3 linked regions of the Canis lupus familiaris genome follow. The protein of the gene in region 3 binds, or shares a complex with, the protein of the main gene of each other region. Links are inferred from orthologs where the notes say so. Each region holds a gene or a part of one and is shown on either strand. Other genes may lie near its edges.

Region 1 (3,500 bases), on a different chromosome or scaffold from region 3:
TTCCTGCCTATGTGTTGTATAGTAGCTCATGTCAACCTTCCAGTAACTTCCCAATCCCCTATTAACTCAAGTATCTAGCCAGGAGATGACTAGTCTAATGGCATAGTTTGACAGGGGTGGAGCTAGGAGACCAACTCAGGTCTGACTGTGTCCAGAATCTGTGTGAGCTCAGCCACCACACTCTAGCTTCCAGCTCTCCAGCTCAATCTATTGCATCAGACATGTGTCTGTTCCTCTCCTCTCTCTGGGTTTCTCTGTCTCCAGGTGTCACTGTCTTGTATTGTCTTTCTTTTCTCTTTTCTTTTCTTTTCTTTTCTTTTCTTTTCTTTTCTTTTCTTTTCTTTTCTTTTCTTTCTTTCTTTCTTTCTTTCTTTCTTTCTTTCTTTCTTTCTTTCTTTCTTTCTTTCTTTCTTTCTTTCTTATTTATTTGAGAGAGAGAGAGATAGCCAGAGAGCACAAGTGGGGAGGGGCAGTGGCGGAGAGAGGGAGAAGCAGACTCCCCACTGAGCAGGGAACCCATGTGGGGCTGGATCCCAGGACCCCAGGATCATGACCTGAGCCCAAGATAGACTCTTAACCGACTGAGCCACCCAGGTGCCCCCCTGGGTGTCACCGTCTGCCTTTCCACATTTCCTCTCCGCACTCCCCCTCTACTCAGGCCTCCTCTCTCTCTGTTTCCCCAGGACAGCTCGGGGCTGCGGCTCTGGAAACGCCGCTGGTTCGTCCTCTCCGGCCATTGCCTCTTCTATTACAAGGGTCAGTGCCCTGACTGGGGAGGGATGGACGCCCCCTCCCCCCCCCCCCCGCCCTTTCCCTTAGCCTCCTGGCCTTCAGATCCTGCGCTGTCGCTGACCCCAGCCCTCTTCTGCAGACAGCCGCGAGGAGAGCGTCCTGGGCAGCGTCCTGCTCCCTAGCTACAGTATCAGGCCCGATGGCCCAGGGGCCCCGCGAGGGCGGCGCTTCACCTTCACCGTGAGTCTGTCCATCCCCCGCGGGCACTAAGGCGCTAGGCCGTGGGGGCGGCCGGGGGAGCATTCATTATTGGAGCTAAAAAGGCTTGACCAGGGTCCACGGCATCCTCCTTTTTGGAGGGCCCGGGCGTCCGGTCCCCAGCTCTCTCTCCCCGCAGGCTGAGCACCCAGGCATGAGGACCTATGTTCTGGCCGCCGACACGCTGGAGGACCTGCGGGGCTGGCTGAGGGCGCTGGGCCGGGCTTCTCGCGCGGAGGGGGACGACGGGTGGGTCCAGGTCCTGGCCACGTCCCAGACCTCCACCTCCAATCTGAGCCCATCTAACCATCCCACAGCCCCTCCCCTTTACGCCAATCACACTTCTGGCTAAGGAGACGCCGCCCTTCAGGCCCCACCTCCAGGGACCTTCCTGTCTTCCAATCAGCAAAAAGTCTTTCTCTTCTAGACACCGCCCACCGTTTCGTCAGGCCCCACCCCTTCATCAAAATTCCACACTCTCTGATTGGCTCCCTCAGAAGTCTCCACCCCCGAGGCTGCCACCTAAGGAATGTCAAATATAAGAGGAAAGTCCCGACTTTCCCCAAGTTTCAGGCTGGAGACTCTGGGACTGGATGGACCTTGTAGCCCTGACACTAGTCACTTCCACACGAAGGGCCTCGATTTTCCCATCTGCGAAGTGGGAACAACAATTTACAGTGCACCACCTACCCTTTCTTTTATTCTGTGTAGGTTCCCGTGTGCTAATCCACGAAATGGGAATGAGGGCTGGTTATGAGGTACAAAGGAGTGATGTCTTTTTCTGTGCTCACTCATTAGTGGACGACCCAGGTCACCTGCACGTCCCCAGCCTGGAGAGGGCCCTGGAGGCCCCGGTGGTCCCCCAGAGGTGACCAGAGGGGAAGAAAGACACGGCTTAGAGTCACCAGAGGTGGCTCGGCTCTCCAGAGGTCGTGGAGGACCCGGACTGCTCACTCCCAGCCCCATAGCTGATCTCCAGTCTGGACCTCGGATCCGGAGGACCAGGAGCCCGGAGTGAGTTGAGGGAGTCTGGGTTCAGAAGGTTCTACAGGGCTGAGCGTCAGAGGAAAAGCTATGTTGAGGGCATGCCTAAGAGGTGGGGACTGGGTCTGCTTCGGGATATGGCTTAGTGCTTTCTCCCTTTAGTGGATGTGAGTCGCTAGAGTTCTCATGGGGTCGGAACCCATAGGGGGAATATCCTAAGGAGGAGATGCCACAAAGGGAGAAATTATTATTCAGTATCTGGGTAATAGAGTGGGGTTCTACTGTAGAGGGACAGTGAGACACACTGAAAGGGGATGTGTCCCCATGCGGCTGACTGGGTGGGTAGTGGGGAAGGGGGCTCTAGGTCACCCAGTTCCCCTATTCTCTCCTCCCAACAGCCTGTTCACACCCCTCTCCCGCCCTCCCTCCCCTCTGAGCCTCCCCCGGCCCCGTTCTGCTCCTGTACGCAGACCCCCTCCATCCTCTGGTGACATAGCACCTCTCGCCAGACCCCATACCCCTCTGAGTCGCATCGATGTCCGGCCTCCCCTGGATTGGCCTCTCCAGCGCCAAACACTGTCCAGGCCACCCACCCCCCGGCGAGGACCCTCCTCTGAGGCTGGGGGAGGAAGGCCCCCCAGGAGTCCCCAGCACTGGAGTCAGGAGGCCAGAACACAGGTGAGCAGCGAGGTAATGGTGAAGGGGACTGCATTTCCCATATGGCCATGGTCTGGTCTGCAGGCCATGGTCCCCTGGGCACCATGGGGATTGTGGTTCAACATAATCAGGGCTGGGGGCAGCCCCGGTGGCTCAGCGGTTTAGTGCCTGCCTTTGGCCCAGGGCCTGATCCTGGAGACGGGGGATGGAGTCCCACGTCGGGCTCCCTGCATGGAGCCTGCTTCTCCCTCTGCCTGTGTCTCGGCCTCTCTCTCTCTCTGTGTCTCTCATTCATAAATAAAATTAAAAAAATCTTAAAAAAAAAACCACAACATAATCAGGGCTGGGTTCAGATGGGAGGGCAAGTGGACTTCATCTCCCATCAGCCCTCAGGGCTGTCTTTTCAGCCCAGTCTCTGACCATTACACCTTAAGTATTATGGGAGTTGTAGTCCAGAATACTGTCATTCCAAGACCATCCTGGGAGACGTGGTGTGATTGCATCCGTTTTGTGTCTCCAGTTTATCTTTCCAAGATGGTTACCTGCTATTTCCTCTGAGCATCATGGAACTGTAGCCCAGAATATCCACAGTTAACCACAAATGTGAGAGTAGACTGCAACTTTCATCAGCCTCTGGGGCAATTTTGCCAGGCTTGTCCATTTATTATCATCCTATGTGTTCCCACAGTGGTACATAGCTGGAGAACAAGTAGTTGAAGTTCAGAGACCCAGTTTTTTTTTTTTTTTTAAGGTTTTATTTATTTATTCATGAGAGACGCACAGAGAGAGGTAGAGACACAGGCAGAGGGAGAAGCAGGCTTCACACAAGGGAGCCCGATGTGGGACTCGATCCCGGGGCCCCAGGATCA
Region 2 (3,500 bases), on a different chromosome or scaffold from region 3:
ACCCAGGCAGCCAGAAGTCAATACACATGGATTTGGGGCATGGGGTTGGTGGGATCCAAGCCGCTTGGTCCTGCAGACAAACCTCTCTCATGCTTGGTTAGCTTCCACTTTGGAGAAACTGGATTCATCTGACAAGATGAGATGCGTGAGGGAGCTCAAGTGCTAACAGCAAAAGGCTGATGACGACTACCACTGGTGTCAGGGCGCAGAAGGAAAAGCTACAGGCTAGAGCCCAGCTGACCAGACACTAACTCCCCTGCAGTGACTGGCATCTCCTGCTCCTGGCATAAGGCTGGGCCATTTAGATACTCAGGACTCTAAGGACATTCAGCTTCCAGTCCTCTCTTAGGTCAGGCCACTACCTGTGTGGCTTCAGCCCAGGTCCCTGTTATTTGGTTGACTGTGACACGGGATTCCCAGCCCTCTTTGGAAACAGTGCTGCATCAGGCAAGGATCTTTTTCTAGGAGGGGCAGGAAAAGAGGAGAGGCCCACATGCCTCTCCAACCCTCAGGAGCCAGGAAAGGTCCCCAGTACACCCACTCTCTCCAGATGGGCTGCATCATAGCATCCGAGAAGCTGTCATGGTGACGAAGTCCTCGAAGCTGAGCCGAATGTTGCCCTGCACGGCTGTGTCCTTCTCCCTGAAGGCCTCGGTCAGCACCTGCAGCTGGGTGCACACCTGGATGAAGCGGTCTAGCTGCATGGCAGGGTTGGCGGAGCGTGGGCAGTAGCGGGAGACCAGGAGCTGGGTGAACTGGGGGCTCAGGTTGTAGCCCATCTGGGACAGAGCTGCAGAGGAGGGGCACACAGAGCAGACACAAAACCTTGCCTTGAGCACCGCCATCAGCCAGCTCTGGGGAGCACGGCAGTGCAGGGGACTGTGAGGAGACACGCACCAGAACAGAGGAGACAGAAGTCCCTGGGGTCTGTCAGAGACGGCAGGAGCCCAAGAGGGGCTCTCTCTGGATGCTCCCCTTAGCTGGAAGGCCCCAATCCCTTTCTCCAAATCTCCATTACTGTCTGTTTAATCAGGCCCATAGGATCCCAGAATGACAGAGGGCTAGCCATGCTCATCTGTGACTCATCCGCACTAGAGAAGGAAGCCTGAGCCCCCAGGGAGCCCCCTGCCCAGGGCAGACATCAGAGGCAGTGTGGCCCAGAGGCAGACATGATAGGCCTGCTCTGGAGTCAACACAGCCCCTTGGGCAAGTTGCTTAACCTTGCTAATCCTCCATCTTATCATCTCTAAAATGAGGATGAGACTTAGTTTGTAGGTTCTAGTAAGGATTAAAGGAGGTTATTCTGTGAAGCACTTGGCATAGTGCTTGATACATAATAAGCACTCAGTGTTACTTGTTAAAAATAAAATCATCATCATGTCCTAGGAAAGGCTGCTGGGCAATTCCAAGGTCACAGCCTTCGTGCTCCTCTGTCCCTCCACCTGGGTGGGAGGCTTCCTTTCTTCCTCTCCGTGTATCTACCAGCCCAGGCTAAAAGCTCCCCTTTTGCTCTGTGGCCCTGAGGCAAGTCGCCTAAACTCGGCCTCGGTTCTCTCATCTGTAAAAGGGCAATAGTAAGAGATCCCTCACCTAAGAATGGGGAAGAACAGACAGTAGCTATCACACGGGGAGAGTGAATGAAGTGCTTACTTGTGTTGACACAACAAGCAGTCAGTAAATATAAATTTTGTTGTGATAGTATCACTCTCACCAATATCTGTAACGGGACTGGGCAAAAGAGGAGGTGATCAGTACAGGTCATGTCCTTTCCCCTCAATGGGTGCAGCCACGGTGAGCTCACCCCCACCCCCACTTAGTCTCACTGAAATCCACAGCCAGGGCAAGGGGCCGGGTTCTCTGGAGAGCCCTTTCTCCCTCCCAGGTGGCAAAGCTCCCCGTCAGATTCTTATCACCCCACTAACCACCCATCTTCTCAAGTCAGTATTGGAACCAGACCTGGAGCTATGGCCTCAGGTCATCTTGGTCTACTGCAACTTTTAGTGTGATCTCGGTCCCAGAGTTGGGAAGGAAACTGCCTTCTAGCAGAGCTGGCAACAGAAACCACCTTTCTGAGTCCCTATACAGGGCTCTTTCCATTCTTTATGCTAGCAACTAGAGAGGAAAGAGCCCCATGAGCCCCACATGCTGACTTCCAGGTCCCCTGGGCTGCTGAGTTCCCATCCCCGAGGCTCCTTTCCGGCTGGGTCTGTCTCACCTAGCAGAGCCAGGAGGACCATCACAAGGGAGTGCAGGCCTCATCCTGGAACCAGGTGCTCCCTTCCCCTGGATCTTGGCTCAGTGCCCCAGCCAGATCACAGAATGGATGCGGAGTGGGCCTGTGTTGAGGACAGCACATGGACAGCTGGTAGTCAGAAGCTAGAGGAACCCCCTTCCCTGTCACAGAGAGCAAACAAAGAAGTCCAGCTTTGCCTGTCCAGGGTCCCTACCATGGTCCCCACCTTGCTGCAGTTCCGTGTGGCTAATGGAGCCTGAGCGGTCCCGGTCATACTGCTGGAAGAGGTTCTTCCACTGCTGGATGAACTTCCACAGGGCTGAGAAACCATAGACGTCGATGCGGCCTGACTTCGTCTTGTCAAACATGTCTTGGGGAGAGAAGGAATGGAGGGAAGAAAAACTTCGAGACTGAGGGCCAGAGTAGGAGACTCCCCAGAACCTCAGGCCTGGGGCCCAGATGCCTGGACCTGAGACATACTCTCGTCAAGTGCGGACCAGCCCCCACCTGGGCCACTCTCAGCCCTAGCCCTTCCAGAACTGCAGTTTCTCTGCAGGCCTGGCAGCTGACTCCCTCCATGCCATCTGCCACCAATGCAGGGAGTCCCATTCTGCAGAGCGGAAAAGTGAGCCTGTGACTCCACAAGGTCTGGAACTTGAGAAAAAAATCAAAGGGAAAGAGCTCTCCTTCTAGAGGATTTCACCTTGAACCCAAATTCCTGCCTGAAAGATTTCTCCTCCAAATGGCTGCCCACCCACCGTCAGATAGTAGGGAGCTCTCCCCCCCCCCCAAGCCCATGGGGAAGGGCTAGGACTTACTAATCATCATGAGGCATGTCTCGTCATTGAAAGAGGACCAGTTGGAGTTGACCAGAGCCTGCTTCAGCTCCTTGATGGAGATGTAGCCACTGTGATCGGAGTCCACTGACTGGAACCAGGAGTAAGCCTCAGGATCCACATTGGGAGGAATGCCACCTGCACAAAGGGATGCAAACCAGAGGAGTCAGAGGCAGGTCTCAAGGCCAATCCAAAGACATGCTGGGAGGACCAGGCCCAGTGCCTCCCTGGGGACAGTTATCCCTTACCCACAAAGCCTCACAAGTCCACCTACCCTGCCTTCCATCAAGCCAACAGCCTTGCTCTGATGGAAGAGGACCTTGGATGTAAACGCTATGAGTATTTGTATCTGGCTTCTATTCTGTGAATCTGCTGGGATTTTCCTACAGTGTTTCAGTCATTTCTCTCTTTGATCTTAAGTTTCTAAGGAA
Region 3 (4,207 bases):
TTCACACGCCTACACAGTCATGAAGTCATTAAGTCCTCCTCCCATCTGAAATCTACATGGGTAGAACAAATGTTGATTTTCTTCATCTACTGTTCGGTGGAGTTGGATGAGGACTGCATCTTCTCTCCTCCCCTTCCCTTTATCCCCCTAGTATTCACTTAAAAATATTTGATTTTAGAAGGAGAAAAAAAAAAAACAGCAAAACAATTTTTAGAAATAAGTAAAATCTAGTAGCTGACGTTTGTGTTTTACCACATGCCAGACACTGTTCTAAATACTTCAGATGTGGTTTTCTCAAAGAACTGTCACAATAACCGTGTGTGATCGCATACTGCTATCACCCTTGACTTAGAGATGGGGAAAATAAGACACAGTCAAAAGGCAGATTTGGACCAGACTCCGCCCACTAACCCACCATATACCATAGGAATTCACTACTACATCAAATTTCTACTATTTCATTCAGTGAAATGAGACAACTATAAGGTTACAAGTGTGAGTTCCATTTGCAAGCTGGTAACTTACCACTTACCTCACTAGTGAACATGGCGCAGAAGTAATCACTACAGGCAGCTAGCACAATTCGATGTGCGGGGAAGTCTTTCTGCTCTACTCTCAAAGTCACATCGCAGAGGGTATTGCTCTTCCGGAGAGAGTTCATTGAATTGAGGATGGATTTAGCATGAGTATTTGTCATTATGTCTTTGGGGGCCATAATGCCTCCCATCAAGCAATATGGAGAAAGAATGAAAGGGGTCCTTGGATTCTGCAAGTACAAGAGGAAAAAACCCAGAGCTCGCTTGAAGGACTAGGAGAACTAAACATATTCCACACAATTAAGCTACATAATTAAGGACGCTTCCTCAGACCCAAATGCAAGTAGAGGGTACGCCTATTACTGGTCTTCTCGCAACAATCCAGCCACTAACTATCCCAAGTAAACACAACCTCTTCCTCTGAATTCTAATATGGAGCGCCCCTAACACTTGACATTTATTACGATCAACACTCAACTATTGTAAATAGAAACCACACATATCTTGCATAGCTTCACAATGCTGTCATGTCAAATGATAAAATGAAAACATAAAACTTGGGCAGCCCGGGTGGCTCAGTGGTTTAGCGCCAACTTCAGCCCAGGGCCTGATCCTGGAGACCTGGGATTGAGTCCCACTCGGGCTCCTGCATGCCTGCTTCTCCCTCTGCTTGTGTCTCTTTGCTCCCCCCTCTCTCTGTGTCTTTCATGAATAAATAAAATATTTTTAAAAACCCCAAAATTTCCTAAAGGTGTGATTATCACTATTATTTAATATCCTTGAGTAGATTAAGTAGACAAGTATTTAGAAAATAGCCTTGTTTTATATATTTTTTCCTACCACAGGAGTTATTACTTAGAAATCAAATGCAAGAAAAGAAAAATTGTTTGACTTAGAGCGATAAAGGCCAGAGTCAGTGAAAGTGTACTTTTTTTCGAAAGAAGTATGCAAAATTATAACTTCCAAATATACCTGGATTTCTTCTTAAAATGATACGCTGAATAATGGAGACACTGCAAGCTTACCTATGGACTTTCACGTGATTAAGTTCTCGAAGCTTTTCTGCGGAAGGGCCTTCCCCCAATATGTTACTAGTAAACGTGCGGTAGGAATTCTCCTATACTGAAACTAAGAGCCTAACTACTAGGACAGAAACTTATTAAAACTCCATTACTAATTTTACTGCCATACCCAGTCGCTTGCAAAGTTCACTTGTATGCATCAATTAAATAAACTCAGTAACATATATTAAAAAAAAAAACACCAATGTACTTTTTACTTTGTTGACAGGCTTTTAGTGACACTTTTTTTTTTTTTTTTGTTTCAAGGAACAATTTCTGGGGGAATAAAATGGGATGGTTATTAAGAGAGTCTCATCTGGAATCTAAAACTTTCTGAAATAATCCAAGAAAAAAAAAATCAGAGTATGATCTTCACGGGTCCACGACTCGCACCCATCATTTCGGAGTAGCACACACAAGGTCCTGAGTGCTCCCCTCCCCTAACCCTATGTCAGCACAGCATCCCACGAGCGCCCTGCATGGCCTCCCCGACAGCCTGCAACATCCATGTCGCAGGGTAAGAGCTGATCCACCGAAGCCTGTGGCAGTTTCCGAAGAGACTGTCCTGGAGCCTACTTACTCGTGGCCCCGGAGATGGGACAGGAGCCTGCACGGACGCCCGATTGCGGGAAAGCTCACCTGGGCAGGCTCGTGGGCAGGCACCAGGGCAGGCTCGTGGGCAGGCACCAGGGCAGGCTCCTGGGGAGGCACCTGGGCAGGCTCCTGGGCAGGAACCAGGGCAGGCACCAGGGCACGCACCTGGGCAGGCTCCTGGGCTCGGCCGGGCCCGGGGTCCACGGCTTGGGCGTCCCACCGCGGTCACCGGGGCGCAGGGCAGGCTTCCTGCTGCGGTTCCCGCCCCTCGCGCCCCGGCCTCGCCGGTCACCCTCACCCTAACATCCGGCAGGGGCTCCACGGAAGGTCCGGGGGAGGCGCCCAGGCGGAGAAGGGGAGGAACCCGGCCGCAGGCCTCCCTCCGCCGCCGGCGCCCGCGCGTCCCACCCCGGGGGAGAGGACGGCCGGGCGGGGGGGTGGGGCACAGCCGCGCCGACTCACCTCGGCTCCAGCCACGAGGGCTCGCCGGGCCCGTCCCCCGCCCGCGGGGACCCCGAGGGGCGCGGGGCCAGCAGGCGGCTCAGGAGGAGCCCAGGCGCCGCCGCCGCCCCCACCCGCAGGCTCCGGAGCCGTCACCGTGGTCGCCCGGGCTCGGCGCTCCGCGGCCGCGCGGCGTGATGACGCAATGCAGCGCGAGGCCCCGCCCCGGCCGCGTCACGTGAGCAGACGGCGCCACGTGACCTCCGGGCGCCCGGGGGCGGGGCCGCGGGAGCATCCCGCTGCGGAGGCGCAGGTTGCTGCAGGGACTGTTACCTGCCCGGTGTCCCGGAGCCCTCGCACCTCGAGGAAACCCGCGGGCGCCTCCAGGTGCTTCACCACAGCGGCCTTGCCCCGTGGGCCACGGCAGCGGCGAGAATCCCGAGCCCTGCGACCCACGGACCTCGGCGTTCTCGGCATCACAGTGGGCCTGTCATCCCCTTGAGGTGGTTCTCCGCCACCTGCACCACCCGCACCTGGACGACCAAGTGGAGGGAGTTTAGGGTCCCCAGTGTTGGGCGCCGTGAGGGGGAGCGCCGAGGATCCCAGGAGTCATCCATCATTTCCCCTTTGTCTTCTGGCGACTTTTCACCAGCTCCTGGGTGCGGAGTGTCCACTTCAGGAATTTTGCTTCGAATCCACTCTGGCAGTTACCTTAGTGCTTCAAAGGGCAATGGGGCTCCTCGATTCAACTTCTGTCAATGTCCAAACTAATTATGCTTAATTATACAGCAGTTGCCCCTTCACTAGGCCCCCAGGGGATGCCTGAAACCATGCAGAACACTGAATACTATTTATGCTGTTTTTTCTTATACCTGCAAATGAAGTTTAATCGATAAGCTAGGCACAGTACGAAATTAACATTAGCTAATAACAAAACAAGTTGCATGAAAGTGGTTTCTAAAGATGTTGTATCATGCCCACTCTTCTCATGGTGTGGAGATGATCAAATGCCTACGTGAGATGAACGGAGGGGTATGATGTAGACACCGTGACAGAGGTTAGGATACCCACTGACCCGGCAACATGTCCGCAGATCATCTGCTTCCAGACGGCAGTGGCTACTGGTAACAGATGTGCAGAAGGGAGAACCATGGTACTGTTTTCCTTTGCAGAGCCTTTGATTTATGGATAATAAAATGATAGCCAAAAAAAAATTTTTTTTAAAAATGATAGCCAAGTGGGTAGCAATCTAATTTTACATAGTGTTTCCATGTTTCATATCATACCTCTCTGATCCTACAGCATCCCTGATTGGGGCACCTGGGTGGCTCAGTTGGTTGAGACACGGACTCTTGGTTTCCGCTCAGGTAGTGATCTCACGGTCGTGAGACTGAACTCCACCTTGGGCTCCCTGCTCAGTAAGGAGTCTGCTGCTGTTCCCCCTTCACTCCTGTTGTGTGCAGGTACTCTCTCGAAAATAAATATTTTTTAAAAAAGATCTTGACAGGGATGCCTGGGTGGCTCAGTGGTTGAGTGTCTGCCTTCTGGCCCAGGGCGTGACCCCGGAGTCCCGGA

Evidence for each region. Proteins that work in one complex are often made in the same cells at the same time.
Region 1: the proteins of KLHL12 (region 3) and PLEKHA4 are in contact, whole or in part, in a crystal structure (PDB 8OIO), measured with the Homo sapiens proteins. The link is inferred for Canis lupus familiaris from reciprocal best matches to the Homo sapiens genes KLHL12 and PLEKHA4. Residues at the interface, in NP_067646.1 of Homo sapiens: Phe289, Arg320, Glu417, Tyr434, Ile439, Phe481, His486, Cys511, Tyr512, Tyr528, Leu533, Cys558; in NP_065955.2 of Homo sapiens: Pro177, Gly178, Gly179, Pro180.
Region 2: the proteins of KLHL12 (region 3) and PEF1 are in contact, whole or in part, in a crystal structure (PDB 8RBH), measured with the Homo sapiens proteins. The link is inferred for Canis lupus familiaris from reciprocal best matches to the Homo sapiens genes KLHL12 and PEF1. Residues at the interface, in NP_067646.1 of Homo sapiens: Phe289, Gln293, Arg320, Tyr321, Leu371, Glu417, Tyr434, Ile439, Phe481, His486, Cys511, Tyr512, Tyr528, Leu533, Cys558; in NP_036524.1 of Homo sapiens: Gly15, Gln16, Ala17, Pro18, Gly19, Ala20, Pro21, Pro22.

The regions. Positions count from the first base shown.
Region 1 is NC_049222.1:108,168,850-108,172,349, forward strand, and holds part of PLEKHA4 (pleckstrin homology domain-containing family A member 4), read left to right. Parts: intron 1-683; coding exon 684-756; intron 757-871; coding exon 872-972; intron 973-1,129; coding exon 1,130-1,239; intron 1,240-1,788; coding exon 1,789-2,004; intron 2,005-2,372; coding exon 2,373-2,652; intron 2,653-3,500. UniProt on the Homo sapiens protein: Binds specifically to phosphatidylinositol 3-phosphate (PtdIns3P), but not to other phosphoinositides.
Region 2 is NC_049223.1:68,875,895-68,879,394, reverse strand, and holds part of PEF1 (peflin), read right to left. Parts: intron 3,208-3,500; coding exon 3,052-3,207; intron 2,604-3,051; coding exon 2,460-2,603; intron 791-2,459; coding exon 561-790; 3' UTR 1-560. UniProt on the Homo sapiens protein: Calcium-binding protein that acts as an adapter that bridges unrelated proteins or stabilizes weak protein-protein complexes in response to calcium.
Region 3 is NC_049228.1:385,584-389,790, reverse strand, and holds the start of KLHL12 (kelch-like protein 12), read right to left. Parts: upstream 2,801-4,207; 5' UTR 2,654-2,800; intron 2,353-2,653; exon of another isoform or gene 2,237-2,352; intron 767-2,236; 5' UTR 728-766; coding exon 533-727; intron 1-532. UniProt on the Homo sapiens protein: Substrate-specific adapter of a BCR (BTB-CUL3-RBX1) E3 ubiquitin ligase complex that acts as a negative regulator of Wnt signaling pathway and ER-Golgi transport.